Schizosaccharomyces pombe: one gene and its partners. Changing the gene in region 2 together with the main gene of any one other region gives a genetic interaction. Each region holds a gene or a part of one and is shown on either strand. Other genes may lie near its edges. The genes, in order: sst6, fab1 and sst4.

What was found.
Region 1: of fab1 (region 2) and sst6, changing one suppresses a phenotype caused by changing the other (phenotypic suppression), as found in Schizosaccharomyces pombe (one study listed by BioGRID).
Region 3: of fab1 (region 2) and sst4, changing one suppresses a phenotype caused by changing the other (phenotypic suppression), as found in Schizosaccharomyces pombe (one study listed by BioGRID).

The regions. Positions count from the first base shown.
Region 1 is NC_003424.3:4,774,077-4,778,856, reverse strand, and holds sst6 (ESCRT I complex subunit Vps23), read right to left. Parts: upstream 3,169-4,780; 5' UTR 3,020-3,168; coding exon 2,963-3,019; exon of another isoform or gene 2,924-2,962; coding exon 1,517-2,923; 3' UTR 1,419-1,516; downstream 1-1,418. Other genes in the region: protein mug162, read left to right, coding at 428-603, 710-848, 901-1,320, 1,359-1,418; SPOM_SPAC1782.12C (uncharacterized protein), read left to right, coding at 3,663-3,693, 3,790-3,866, 3,923-4,171; met14 (adenylyl-sulfate kinase), read right to left, coding at 4,351-4,490, 4,597-4,780. UniProt on the Schizosaccharomyces pombe protein: Component of the ESCRT-I complex, a regulator of vesicular trafficking process. Binds to ubiquitinated cargo proteins and is required for the sorting of endocytic ubiquitinated cargos into multivesicular bodies (MVBs).
Region 2 is NC_003423.3:2,656,069-2,661,798, forward strand, and holds the start of fab1 (1-phosphatidylinositol-3-phosphate 5-kinase Fab1), read right to left. Parts: upstream 3,390-5,730; 5' UTR 3,276-3,389; coding exon 1-3,275. Other genes in the region: heat shock protein Hsp16, read right to left, coding at 4,422-4,853; SPOM_SPBC3E7.17 (uncharacterized protein), read left to right, coding at 5,728-5,730.
Region 3 is NC_003424.3:2,475,340-2,480,531, forward strand, and holds sst4 (ESCRT 0 complex subunit sst4), read left to right. Parts: upstream 1-2,531; 5' UTR 2,532-2,779; coding exon 2,780-4,612; 3' UTR 4,613-4,692; downstream 4,693-5,192. Other genes in the region: U3 snoRNP-associated protein Imp4, read left to right, coding at 1-247; pbr1 (putative dehydrogenase), read right to left, coding at 627-1,757; C-22 sterol desaturase Erg5, read right to left, coding at 4,808-5,192.

The DNA of each region.
Region 1 (4,780 bases), on a different chromosome or scaffold from region 2:
CTACTAAAAGTTTTGTATAATTTAATTTATTTAAATTTTGTTTATTGTTGTTCATTAATTTTAACAACTGATTATATCAATTTCATTAAACGGTTACATAAATTTGAAAATTGTTTACACATAATAATAATAATAAATTTAGGTTCGATAAAATTTCGTAAACAATGACTAGTACATTCAACTGAATTATATATATATATATTTTTTTTTATTATTCTTTAAGCTGATAGAGAGGGTAGTACTAATCGTAAATAGTCAGTACCTCTACTGTACGTAAGCTCGCAATTCTTTGCTCGAATTATTTACCACAAAATTGCCTTGCCTTGACATATATTAAATACAGCTACAATTTTCAAGCTTATTTGCTGAAAATAATTGTCGAATGAATATATTTTAATTTGACAATATTTAAATTGCTTCCGCAATCATGGATGATGAAGTCTATAAACAAAGACTCACAGCTTTGAATAATTTGCGTATTGTCATTTTCTTCGATATTCTTATTATATTGTTAGGCTACATAGGAACTTGGAACTTAAAAACTTTACAATTAGTAAATCCTAGCTTATGGTCATTTTCTCCATCTCTATGGATATACATTAGGTATCTTATTTTATGTCGGAAGGAATTTCTTTCTTCCGGCGTATTTTTTAACTAATTGAGATTCATGAGAATCTTAACATGAAGAAGTTCTAACTATTTCAATCAGGGGAACAGTTCTTTGTGCAGATTGCATATTTACAGCGGGTTCGGCAAACGAATACTCTGCCGTTCAAAATTCTGTGTTCCAAGTTTCCAGCCTTATGTTTTATGGCTTGATGATGGAATTTTTTGGGTATTCTTTTGATGTATGTATTTATTTATTAAATTTTCTGGAGAATTCTTAATTAATGATTGTAGAGAGTTGGTTGCATGGAACTCGCTTTCATAAGCTTTTCCGCTGCTTGCTATTTTAATATAAGGTCAATTAAATCTCTATCTTTAAAAAATAAAAATTGGACAATAATCAGCATAATTGAAATTCCTATCAAACTGCACTTCATACTTAATGTTCTGCTGTTTCTTAAGTTTTCTGAATACATGCTTCCTTTACTTGGCAGAGTACATTTGTCCTATCATTTATTTGCATTATGGGTTATTAATTTGTATATTTGGATTAAGTTGATTGACTCCAAGGATTTTGTACTAGGATTTCTTGCAGGATTATCCGTACTTCTTTTAAATACGGGTTCATTAATTACAGCAAAACCACTTATTTCTTACTTCAATTTATTAACTTCCTGTTTAATTATTTTCCCTAGTATATGGATTTATGCAATTGTAAGCAAAAATTATGTTATCCAATCTAACCTTTCTAGGAAAAGAAAAATTTTAAAAACCTAAGTTATGAGGACGATGATTATCGAAATTACTGGTAATGGAGATATTTTTTACAAAAAAATAAATAAAAGAATAATATTTATCTTGTCCATATATTCCTAAAAATGTCGACACTGAAATTCACATCACTATAATCTTAAGAGTATTGAAGCATTTCGTCCCGTATTAAAAATTGTTGTCTAGCTAACAGCTTTATTCCCTTTAACCAAGATGCGGGCATGATTGATTCATGATGCAAGGCCTGATTCAGGGCTCGAATTCCTTCATCCAGTTTTTCGTCCTTACGTTTAAGTTCATAATATTTTAGTTCTCGTTCGGAGGGTATTATAAATAGTTCTTGAACAGATAAGTCTTTTAAATTGTCCAACTTCTGTAGGGCTTCTCTGGCTTTTCTCCTTCTTTTTCCTAAGATGAATCTATTGTTTTCAATATTTTTAGCAAGTGTTTCTAAAGCGTGTCTTTCTTGATCCAAAAGCCTTTGCTTAACCTCTAAGTTTTTAGATATTCGTATTTGTGAAATCCATTTTTCTTCAATAATTTTGTTCTGTTTATGTAGAATTTGCTGAATTTTCACAGGGTCAACATTGGGCTTAAAGTCTTCTGAATACAGTAGCTCAGACGAACCTTTTAAAGGGGTTTCAATATCTGTATCTATAAGGTTGAGCAAACTTTGGGACTCAATTTTTTTTCCTGTCGAGAACACTGAAACTTGTTGAACGATCTGACCTTTAGAAACTTTGGGTTTTTGCGGTAACAGAGCAGGCTTTGAATATTTGTCTTTAAGTGAAGGCGTGTCTTTGGTAATTATTATCTCATTTTGTTCAGGTTTTGGTGGAATAGGTTTTTGGGCAGGAATGTTAGAACTTGGTCGCCTCAATGAAACAGAATCGTGAACAAGCTGTTGTGATGTAGCTGAAAAAGGTGCTGTATTCAGAGAAAAAAGCGTACTTTGAAAAGAGGAAGAATTGGAATTTGTTTCTTGTCCTAAGGAACTATTAGCGGTAATTTTTAAAGGCTTAGGCGGTAGTTTGGAAGGTAACGCAGGCACCTTTCGGAAATGTTGTTCAGAGGAAGATGAGAATGGTTTAGCAGGGATAACAGGAGGAGCTTCATTTTCTTCTTTCACTTTGAGCTTTTCAATAGTATTAACGAGTTTTGTCGGCAGTTCAGGAGGAGAAGTATGTTCTCTTTCAAAGTCTTGCTTTATTAGAGCTTGAACTAAACGATAGATATTAAAAACAGACCGTTCATTTTTCCAAAGTTGTAGTAGAAGACTTGTGTACTTATGCTTTCCTCCTTTTTCATCCAATAATTGTACTATTGGCGGCTGTGATGGATAATAAGAGCGAACCGTTATACAAGCCGAGGTTAAAATTGTTTTGTCAAATGCTGGAGTACTCAAATAAATGCGGACCTCTTCTATTTTGTTTTCGTCTTGCGTATCTACTTCAATATTAATTGCTTGAAGTGTAAACGTGTCTTCACATTGTTTTCTAAACAATAATTCTAGTTCTTCAGCAAGTCCATTCTTCCAAAATCTAATCTATTTTTCAGGTTAAATTGGTAAAAAAACAAGCGGTACCTTTTCAATTGTATTCAAAATTCGTGAAGGGTGTTCATTGATTGCATGATCTGACATGGTAAAAAGAAACGAGGCGCACTTATGCAAGCACGTGATTAAATCTTATAGGATTTAAAGAAATCAAATAAAGTTAGCTGGTTTTCGAAAACCTATTAATTGCAAGCACCACTTGTGAAATTGATTTTGAACAGATGGTCGTTTTCTTTACGCATTTTATCGTTGTAATAAATAACGTCAATGCTGCATCTCTTTTTTAAATAAACTGTATAATATTACAATATATCGTTATATCAAGCGATAAAACAGGTAACGATACTCAAGATTATTTTCAATTGATGCCATATTAACATTAACGCCAAGTTTATTTTAAGTGCTACATACTCAATTTCTGAAATTGACGATCTGATAGTATATAATATTAGGATATGAATTTATAGACTGATAGGAGCAGTTATGAAAAATTCACAAAGTACCAATACGCTCAGATTTCTTATTCAATATTTTGGAAATGTGTCGTATCCATAAATATAAACTAAGGTAGCAACTATAATTGAGGATCATTGTTCTCACATACGTATTCCACTTCTCTTTTAACACCAGCAATACTACAATTGCAAGACTATTGAAAGGTTAATTACGGCAATAAACCGAGCAGTTTGCATTTTTATTGAAAGAATTATCTGATATTTGTTTATCAATAATGACAATTTGGAACGTAGCTGCATTGACAGGTAGGTTCTAGCACAAGTAATAGACTGGTATATAACCTTTATATACATTTACTTTTTGTTAAACAACCTATTTTACGTTATCTAACAATAAAAAAGGACTGCTCAGCGTAGGTTTAGGTGCATATGGATCTCACGGGTTGCAAAAACGTGTTCAGGATCCACATTTATTGAAGGTAGGATTTATGCATTTTTATTTCATGATTGTAACTATTTTAACATAAAATTATAGTCATGGTCCACTGCTTGTACTTACTTGATGTTCCATTCATTGGCAACCATGGCCGTTTCTTTGCATCCAGTTTACGGGAAATCTCGTTGGACGGGACCCCTGCTGATTACAGGAAGCTGCTTGTTTTCTGGGACAATTTATGGACTTTGTTTATTGCCTAAAGGACATAGTCTGCGACGAATTCTTGGGCCCTTGACACCAATTGGAGGACTAGTGATGCTTACAGGGTGGGCTACAATGCTAGTTTAAGAGAGCTTTAATTTAGATGCTTTTTGTTTTACCAGTACAGACGCAAGTATTAATGATGTCGTTTCTAAAATACTAGCAGATAAAGAATATGTTATGATTTTATTGGGTCCCAAGTAAGCGAACAAAAAAGAGAGAAAGGATATAAGGGGAATACAAGTATTTAAGATGAGTTAACGTGTTTACTTCAAAGTAATCAAATCCTTTTCCAACAAGTAATTGACGATTTTTTCAACACACTCTTCAATCGATTGAGTATGAGAAGAAACCACGATTTCAGGAGAAATGGGAGCCTCATAGGGAGCAGAAATTCCTGTAAATTCTAAAACCGGTTAGCCTTAATTTTATAGGGTCATCTATTTAAAAACATTGAGAAAATGGAATTTCCTGAGGGGAAAAAGTATCTTTAATGTGTAACAATTACCTACCTTTAATCTCACCAGCACGAGCACGCTTGTACAAACCCTTTGGATCACGCTGCTCGGCAACTTCCACTGGACATTCAACATAAACCTCAATAAAAGGAAGTCCATCTTTTTTATGAAATTCGCGTGCTTGATCACGATCCTTGCGATAAGGAGAAATGAAGGAAGTTACTGCAACTACACAGGC
Region 2 (5,730 bases):
AGTTCAAAAATCTCTATTAGGTCTCTTTGAAATCGTAAAGCCATGTTGCAATAACCGAAATAATGAACATGTTGTGCCATAACACTGTGGTCACAGAATTCGAAGCGATCCCTTATTTGAGAATTATAGAACATGAATTCAAGATATTTTCCAAACGAATATTTCCATGTTTCTTCAGACATAACAGTAATGTGTGTATTCTTTTTACAGAATTTGCAGTAACTCCACATAATTATCTTTTCTTCCAAACCAGGGACAGGGCACGAAAAAGATTCCAAAAAAACGCTGATCCGACTATTTCCATGAACATAACTCCTGTAATGCCACAGCATATCATTCGTTTTACAATACTCACCTCCACAACTTACATTGGTATTCAAGCATGAGTCCTCTATGTACTGACCAAGAGTGCAATCAGTTTCTCGATAAAATTCTAATAGACAACGTTCAGGGCCAATACAAGGAACAGAAGTTTCCTTGTTAATAATGGAATATAACAAAATAATCCTTTGAGAAGAAAATGGAGAAAACATGAGTTTTGAATGAGAGTAATAAAGTGTCCACTGCTTTTCTAAAAAATGATAACGTTCATCAATACAAAAGAATTTATAGGACTCTTCGTAACTTTCTTCTACATTGTCATTTTCGGACTGCTTCATTACGAATGAGCCAGTTGGTGAGTATGGATGTAACTTCACATCTTTCAGTAATTTGTTACGAATAAACTGGTAATAATTAACTTGGTTTAATAAACGTGGAAGAGGCTTTGATAAAAAGGGTGAAAACGTTAAAAATCTGGTTTTCAAAGCCTTGGTAATAGAAGAATAGTCATCTGAGGCTGGTAAGTTATTGATCAACTCAAGCGGGCTGTTGCTACCTTGGGTGCTAGAAACACTTTGATTTTCATTTTCCAAAGGTCGCAAACTTTGATTATCACTGTTCAGAGATTTTTTTTCATGATTTTGGCTTTTCTCTTTATCAGCTGCAGTAGAGGCAAACGAAGGCAACGATTTCCTAGACAAACTTTGATAGGTTGTTTCAAAAAGCTCCGGCATATTCACAAATTTGTCTCTTAACAAGGCACATTCAAGTTTGATATGATATGCAATCAAAACAACAAGTTCGACAATCTTCTTGACCTTGCTCAACTGATTATAATCAGCTCCTCTTAGAACTATGGTGCAGCCTAAACGTTCCGAGCAGCGATCAAGTATAGCAAACGTTTTCCTCAACCCTTTGTTTTCATCGACAACATACGTTCTGAGTTGAAACCTGCCGCAAGTACCAAGACGAGGACAAAGCGACAATTTATCTATTGACGATATTATGTCTGCACGACAACATCTAGCTATGTCATATAAAACTGATTCTTTAAGTCCATGAAAGGCTATAACGCCATGTTCTTCAAAGTACTTCAAGGCAATACTGGGGATTTGACCCTGAGCAAAAACTAGATTCGGTTTAAGCATGCAGATTCTATTGACAAGATTTATAATATACTCTTCTTGCTGAGAGATGATTAAATCCAAGGATAAAATTCTCTGTTCGTCACAAGCGTAGTCTAAACTGAAAGTTAAAAGAGCTATACGAGGCCGACGAAGCGAGCGGTCCATAGATTTGGACGAAGCTTTTTTTGAGAACAAAACACCATTAACAAGAAAACAATCTTGAATGCTTCCCCCGGGAATCTTTTTTATTTTTACATAGCTGCGGACATCAATATCATCACCAGAGCGAATATCAGGACCTAGATCCAAAGCCATTTTTAAAAGAATTTTTGGGAGACAAAGTACCCATTGCATAGGCGAATCCACACCCTCATCATTTAGCATTTGAAAGAGTAATTTTCCCAGAAAAGTACATACAAGCTGATTAAATGAATCAGAGAAGAGAATCCAAGGTGGTAAAATACATGTGCTTTTGGAAGAGGTAACTACAGAAGAAGCACGCGACTTTCCCTGGTAAGGAAGAGGCTCTTCTGTTCCACCGGGATGATTCACCTTATCAACTCGCGCATTGAAGTTTTCAATTAAAGCGGGAAGTCCATCGGGAATAGTAGAAGAAGGAAAAAGATAGTCGCAAACCGTTTTCGGAAGAAAAGCTTTTAAAAAATTTGATAAGTAACTTTCATTACCGTAACGCTGAATTGATGCAACATTTTGCTGGCGTTGCTTAATAATTGCACTATTGGCATGAAAAGAAAGGCCCAATCCATCATTGAATAGTGATTCATCGTCGGAGTCGGAGAAATGATGATAGGAATTGCCCGAATCGGCCAAACCCCGTTCATCAGTCAAGGAAGAACTTCTTGAAATAAAGGGTTCATTTATTACTGTGCTCAATCGATCGTAAGACGTTGCTTTTATATTTGGAGAAAGGTTAACAAATGAAAGGCCTCTGTCGCCTTTGCTAAAATCCTCGAGCCGGTTTCTTTCATCAGCCGACAAGTACATATCAGAGACTTTCGCTGAGGAAAACGCTTTATTCTTTCTTAACTTTGAGTATGAAGGTACTTTTCCAAAATTGACGGGACGATAATCTGTGGAAACAGAGCTAGGACCAGCATCGTAACTATTTGTAATGGTTAAAGCATTATATTTACCACTTTCGGAATCTTCAACATTTATAACATTCGAATCTAAATTCCTTTTGCTCCAGTCAAGAAAGATGGAATGGTGAGCCCAACCAGGAGAATCATAATTCGAGCGACTAGAGGGAATAGCTATCATTGGAGCAACTTCAGGAGGATGAATATTATTAGGCATCTCAAATGTGCTACTTAAATCTCCAAATGATGATAGTACTTGATCATTCGAATTAAGTTCGTCCAGTGTAACAAACGGATGTTGCTCCGTAAGATCTCTATTTTTGGATTCGTTTAATGAATGATTGAATAGCTGGCTTCGAGAATAATTATTAACTAAAATTGAAGCACATGGACGACACACTTTGATCGATCCTTGGAGACGAAAGATAAATCCAGGAGCTTCTTTTAAGCAATATTTGCAGATAATTTTCCCACATATTCTACAATGATGTTTCCTTCGAAATAAAGTAAATTCCGTCTCACATAATGAACAGTTGTTTGTTCTTTCATCTTTCATCCAAAATTCGCGCGACAACGTACTAGTCGGCAATTTCAACGTAGTGTGGACAACATTCTCGGAATCTTTAATGATTTGCTCTGTGCTTGATGTATGCAAAGTATCTAAACGGTGAGAGGTTTCAACAGGAAAAGTGGGCGAGGCTGCGGTAGGCGTTTCGACTTCTGACATTTGAACAGAAATGCAAACCGAAGATTAAAATTATCTCCGGAAATTATTGGTTCTATTAATTAAGTTCTATGAATTGTCATGATTGTTATATCGAAAAGCATGTACGTTAAACGCAGCTGTTTGATAATAAATACTTTAGGTTTTGGTGTTGATAGAATAGTGTATATTAACGAGATTCGCCGAATTTAAGTTTTACAAAGCCATAGCAATACAAGAGCTTTCGGCTTTACTGTAGAGCTAGATATTATAGCAAACAAGAATTTGGTTTAATCACACACGAAAACCATAACATTCTTAACTTTAAACTGTATGTTGATTACTGAAAAAGAAAGGTACCCTAGGCTATATATTTATGTGTACTTTTTTTTATAGGAAACATTGGATCACCCAAGGATTAGTGGTAGTATGGAAACACTCGCTCAAGGCCAAGGAGATTTAACTACTTTTAGGTTAGCGTGTCCATGAACCAATGAACTAGTAATATAAAGAATAAAAATAGAAAGGAACACATCTATGAAGCCCTTGTCCCTAACATGAAATCACAAAACTTCCGCTTAAACAAACCTTATGGCTCACTAATAAAACCAAAAATTGTTAAGAGCATATTATCAGATCTCCGCAAAAGGAAGACGATTTCATTGCCCCGGTGATTTAAGACTCAAAGAGCATACACAACTTTATGATATGCTAATGTAACTCCTGTTAATTCATTAGGAGCTACATAATACTGTTCTTTTTTTTTGAAAAAAATAAAAATAAATCTACACATATTACGATAGAGCATTTTGAAACAACTTGTTTTCTAATTAGGAATAAAAAAATATTTATTTATTTATTTATTTTGAAAAATTGCTAGAGATCACTTGCTCATCATTGGAGAATCGTAACAAGTGGTAGTCAAGATCATTAAAACACTGTCTGACAGCTGGCCATAAATTGCTTGATGTGGAATTTAAATGCTCTTTTACTGTTTAGAAGACCGTGTTCAATTCATTATCAAAATTCATCAATCCAATGGCAAGCGGATCATTAATTGCATATGTTATGATTGATTGTTAAATCAAACAATAATATATGCTCACAATCCAACAAGATTGGTCTCATAACCATTTCGAAACTATCATATTAAAATCGGAAGAGACGATTTTACTTAATAGCAATTTGTTTCTTAGTTTGGGACTTCTCGACCTTGGGCAAGGTGACAGTCAATAGGCCATTACTGAAGTTGGCCTCAATGCGATCTGCATCAATCTTGGCTGGAATAGTAATGGTACGAGAGAATGAGCCAAAGCGACGCTCTGACCAGCGTTGGTTACCCTCGGTGCTTTCATTCTTTCTCTCATTGACGACTTCGCCAGAAATAGTAAGTTTTCCGCTATCATAATGGACTTGAACGTCCTCTTTCTTAACACCAGGGAGTTCTACATCAACGCTAACAGTGTCTTTACCCTCATGCACATCAATCGAAGGAGACAACTCCCCAGGAATTTGGTTGTTCAAACGAGGGGAGTAACTAACAAAGTCAGAGAACAAGTCGTTGACAGTAGGGGGAAAGCCGAAAAAAGGTTGCAAAGACATTTTTTAAAATTTAAACAATTGCGAGTAACTTGAAATTATATGAATTCAATTCAAATCTGTATTTGTTCGATGCTGGACTAGCGGAAGGAGTACCCTTATTTATACCTTTCTGGGAAGCACGGAATGGGATGGATGTCATATATTGTACGATGACTCGAATTTTCTCGTAAACGTTGTGAAAGATCACGAATTTGCCGGAGTTTGTACTTTCGGAACGGCGTCTTTTGCTAACACTCAAACTCTGTATTGGGTGGACTTAGATGTTCGTTAGTGCTTGCTCTAGAAAAGTCCAAATTTGCCACTTATGCGCCACAACCGAGGCAGATTCAAATATAAACTTCGGTACGCAAGGCTGTGCTATCTTTCTAGAGAGATCTAGAAAATAATCATTCTAGTAGAGTTAGAAAAATACTCATTTCATTGACTGTATATCGTTTCCTTTACCTTATTTTTTTTTTTACTTTGTAGTCAACTAACCAAAATAAAATTTTTAGGACGCATTTAGATTTGTAAATAAACCATAACGTAAGAATTTTTCTTTCTAATCTTATGATTTGAGCGCTTTATTGGCAAAGACGTATTTTGTGCATTCACGCAATTGTTGCTCATGCACTTGAAAACATTTCATAAATCTATAAAACTTATGCGACTTCCTCTTGTTCGTCATAAAATTGTTCTTCTGCAATATCTACGTTAAAAGCATAGCAATATGAATAGTTAATTCCTTTACTTTACACAATTGTTGGGTTAAGTTACGCAAATTTCTGCGATTGTTAACTTTTTAAATATTCAAATAATAAATATATTTGAAGGAATCGGACGTTCTACTGTATCGTCGCACCTCATATTAGATGTTTTTTCCATCATTGCAGTAATG
Region 3 (5,192 bases), on a different chromosome or scaffold from region 2:
TCCTCCAGACCCTAAAGATACTACACCACGTGTGGTTACATTTGCTAACACTGATGATTATATCAGTTTCCGTCACCACATTTACGCCAAAACAGGCCCAAAGCAGATTATTCTATCTGAGGCTGGTCCTCGCTTTGAGATGAAACTATTTGAAATTACCCTCGGCACCGTTGATATGGTAGACGCTGATGTGGAATGGAAATTGAAGCCTTACCAGCGTCACAAACGTGATGTTTTAGCTGAATGAGCGTAGGTATGATGGGTATGGTCAAACGGTTATTTTAGGTTCATTTGGGATACAGGTAAATAATTACAATTCTTTTATGTATAGGCAAGGCCATTAGAGTGAATGGTATCTTTGATAAATAAGGAGGCAAAACTTTCTAGTATTAGTGGTTAATGGTTATACTATTCAAAACATTAGTGAAGTAGAACATATATCAGTAGCGATTGTACTTGGGTTCCTTTTTTATATTTTAATTAGTTTACTTGAGCAATGTTTATGTACAGCTTAAAGTTTAAGCACTGTATTTGTCTTTTTAAAAATACCAACCTTTTAACTTCGGACCTACGTTATTATGGTGAATATTCCAACCAAATGACATTCCATATTTTTCGCTAAACTTCTATTTTTTTGATTTCTTGATTTTCTTCTTCTTGTATTGCTTTTCAACTTCATCAATTTGGGCATCGGCAGCTTTTATTAGTTTTTCAGCAAATTCCGGATCGGTAATTTCTTTGCGTGAATATTCAACTATCGAACATTCATTTACAAGGACGGGTTGAGTAATCGAAGCAAATTCGGGACTGCAAATAGCATGAAAAAATGATTGAGCACCATGAATAGTACCTTTCAGAAGAAGCCACCAAAACGGCCAAAGTAACAAATAAAGAAATAATCCCCAAACCTTTCCAAAGGATACAACTCTTCGAAATCCTGGAGTTCGAACGACACCTGGATTTGCCATGATGGTATGTAAATTACACGGCATTTTGTCAGGTCGTTCATGAGCTTCAGCTTTTTTCTGAAAATCATAAAGATAAGTCATCAAGGCAAGTTTGGCATTTCCCACTACCTTCCAGGGACTTTTTCGAGGATATGGATGATTAGATAAATCAAGATCGTTGAAATCTATATTACCTAAAATATATGATGAACAGGTAGCTGCAACAATTCGTACTTCCCTGTGCCCGGGCTGACCATATATAACTGGGCGGAGAATCCTAAGTAGCTGGTATGGACCTAAGAAATTTGTAGCCCATTGCAACTCAACACCTTCCTCGGTAGTTTGCCTATCCATAAATGGAGGCAGTAAAACTCCACTGCACAAAACTATCATATCCAGCCTACGAATAGGAGTGCAATCAATCCACTTTGTAGCGAACTTCCTAACAGATAACATAGAGCTCAAGTCACAGACTTCAGTATAAATTAGTTGGTTTTTTGTACGCTTTCTAAGGTCCATTATGTAATCTACAGTAAATTGATCTGGCTCTGTACGAAGTAGAATAACAACTTGAGCTCCCAGAGAAGCTAATTTCTCTACGACAACTTGTCCTATTCCAGAACTTCCCCCAGTGACCATGACTACCATTCCGTTCATTTTACGCTCCCAAGTTGTTGTTCGTCCAGAAGTCCAGAATTTAAAGGCCGCAATTGTTGAAACCGCAATCGCAGCCTTTGTATATTGAGCCCAATGTGTAATTAGATGCTCATACTTAAATTGTGCTATGTGAGCAATAATTGGAATAGGCATATTTCGTTGATTTACAAAATCTGTTGATGGAGTTGGCAAAAGGCAGCTACATACCACTGACATTGAGGTATACTAAACTCGTCTTCATATTTAATTCTTAACAATCAAAAATTTAAAACTTTTTTTTATACAATTGTTTTAACTTTAGATGGATTTAATTGTACAATTATTTAATCGCTTGACTGCTAGTGCATATTACTAATAGCAACTAGCTCCATAAATTTGACAAAGATAGGATTGAATTGTTTTTGTATATATACATAATGTAATTTATGGACCGTAAAACAGATTGCTTACAAATTGGAAAGTAAAATAGACTGTTTATATGATATATATGTGAAATTTGAAGATATACTAAATACTTGTTTTAACATAGGAAAATTAAGTATGTGTATACTACAACATTTGACATATTATTTTTTATAATATTTCAAGAAACACTGTGATAGTATATAATTCGCATAGCAAATATAAATTATTACGGTCTGTCTTATTAGCACCTACCAGAAGTACAGCACTCAATGGTGAGGTATCGTTTTCCTTCTTTGCTTATTTATGGTACCTTCAAAAAGGCTGAAACTACATTGCACGCTTTAGCTTGATCTACCTAATGAGTCTATAAACATCATCGATATTTACGACAATTAGTGTTCTCTCAATACTTGCTTTACTATATTTGCCGCTCTGCACTATCAACCGTTATACCGAGATGTGCTAAGCTGCCCGCACTATTACTTAGCAAGTTTGAGCCACGAACAATCTGTTATTGCTGTCGAGAACCAAACTCTTTCTCAAATTGAATTTTATTGGAAAGGAGGATTTACAATACATTATTTTGCCATAATTTCAAACAATCAGAAGAATTGTGCCAAAGTTGTTATACTTCACCTGCTGCTTTTGTTTATTAGGAATTTTTGAAGGCCATTGGTTATTTGTTTGGTGACAATTTAGCTTACAAATAATAAAAAGATTTCTTTTGTTTCTTAATTTCGGTTTTTCTTTTCTTCTCTATTTTCATAACGATGTCTCGGTGGTGGAATTCCAATTCTCAGTTTGCTTCCGACATAGAAAAGGCTACATCGGAAACGCTTCCTGCTGGCTCTGAAGAAATTTCATTATATTTAGAAATTTCTGATCAAATACGTAGTAAGTCTGTTGATCCGAAATTTGCTATGCGTATTCTTAAATCCCGAATTGATCATTCGAATCCGAATGTTCAAATAATGGCATTGAAGTTGACAGATACCTGCGTTAAAAATGGGGGTTCCGGTTTTTTATTGGAAATAGCTTCTAGAGAGTTTATGGATAATTTGGTATCTATTCTACGATCTCCTGCAGGAATAGACGAAGACGTTAAAATGGTCATTTTACGATACATTCAGTCTTGGGCTTTGGCAGTTCCAGATACCAATTCTCCACTTAGTTATATTATTCATGTTTATCAAAATTTAAAAGACGGTGATTATGAGTTCCCTGAGCCTTCTCAGAACATTACTAGCAAATTTTTAGATACTGAAACACCGCCCGATTGGACAGATAGTGAAGTTTGTCTTCGTTGTCGTACACCTTTTACATTCACTAATCGTAAACACCATTGTAGAAATTGCGGTGGCGTGTTTTGCAATCAATGTTCTTCAAAAACACTTTCTCTTCCTCACCTTGGAATTAACCAGCCTGTTAGGGTATGCGACAGTTGTTATTCATTACGTACGAAACCCAAAGGTTCCAAATCAAGAGCGCGAAATGAAAGGAAATTCCATGCGAAGACTAGAAAGACACCCTCTAAACCCGTAACTAATAATGAAGACGAAGATATCAAAAGAGCTATTGAGCTTTCCCTCAAAGAAATGCCTCAATCACGAGAACCTCCATCTTATGAAAGACCTTCAGAGGCCAATGTAGTTATTAGTCAAGACCAACATCTTACAGAAGACGAAGATGAAGAGCTTAAACGTGCTATTGCTATCAGCCTTGAGGAAGCACAGAAGTCATCTCAAAAGGATGACAATGTTACGGCACCTAACAATATGAATATTTCTTACCCTAGTGTTCCAGCTCACACCGTTTCAACTGATATTCGATCATCTCCTTTCTCTGGTAGGCCGAGTGATAATCCTTCTACTTTAATTTCTACTGCGGATGCTGATAACATCACTTTATATGCTACTTTGGTGCAAAAGTTAAAAAAGCTACCACCTGGGTCTATTTTTACGGAATATCAGCTACAGGAACTCCACGAAAATATGGGTGTTATGCGAACTCGTATGATGCGATCGCTTGGTGAAACAATGAGTAAATATAACGGGCTAATTCAAGCTTTGCAAAAGCTCCAAACTTGTATGCGATTGAATGATGCTCTAATAGAACAAAGACTTTCATCCACGTATGCACATCATTATATTGATTCTAGCATGGATTCAAACCGATCAATTGAACCTGAGCCGGATGTAATTAGCACTGTGAGGAATAGTTCAACCATTCCCCAGGCTTCGTCTTCTTCTGTCCCGAAAATCGTTGTCGATTCGTCTCCGGTAACAGAAAATCCCCCTAGTCATTCTGATGTGATGGGTCAGAAAGATACTATCTCCAGTTATTACTCGACGGATACAGACGTTTCTGCGAATGTAATGGGAAATCGACACGATGAAGTTGTATTTTCTGACACCGCATCTGGTGAAAAGAATACAAAATTAAATATCGATGAAAGTACCAACTATTATAATACTGATTCAATCGATAAAGTTGGAGAGCCTTTTGACGAAATTTCCTCTGGTTATGATGATTTAATGAATGGCAATGATAAGCAAGGTAATGATATTCCTGAAGTTCAAGAAGCATCTTTAATCGAGCTTTAGGTTTTAAACATCTTATAATACATATTAAATACTTAGATCAATTTATCGACAATGCATGTCTGTTTACGATCCTTTTAATATTTTTTTGTTTTTCAAAATTGATCAATTGTAACCTAAAATTCAGAATGGTGAATACATACGTAAACTAAACTAATAAACGACTATAGACTCCGAACCTGGGTAGTTATTTGTAAATCAAGCGCTCTCAGTCTCCACAGTTGCGGCAGAGACTGCTTCATTTGAAAAAGCCTCCTTGGAGTTTTTCCAGTCAACAGTTGAAGCATCAAAAGGTGAAAATTTGAGGTAACACATATCTTGAGGAAATGTCGTAGCGAAAATCATTTGAGTATCAGAGTCAGGGGTTCTTTTATGTTTCCAATCAAGCATGATACTGGCCTTTCCAATGCAAGCAATTAAATGATTAACGGCATAACGCTGGCCCAAACATACATGAGGACCATTACCAAAAACCATCCAATTCTTAGGACTTTGCTCGGCAAGACCATTTGGTGCCCAGCGGTCAGGATTAAATGTTTCTGGCTCTGGATAAACCTTAGAATCGTGAAGTGCACCATAGAGG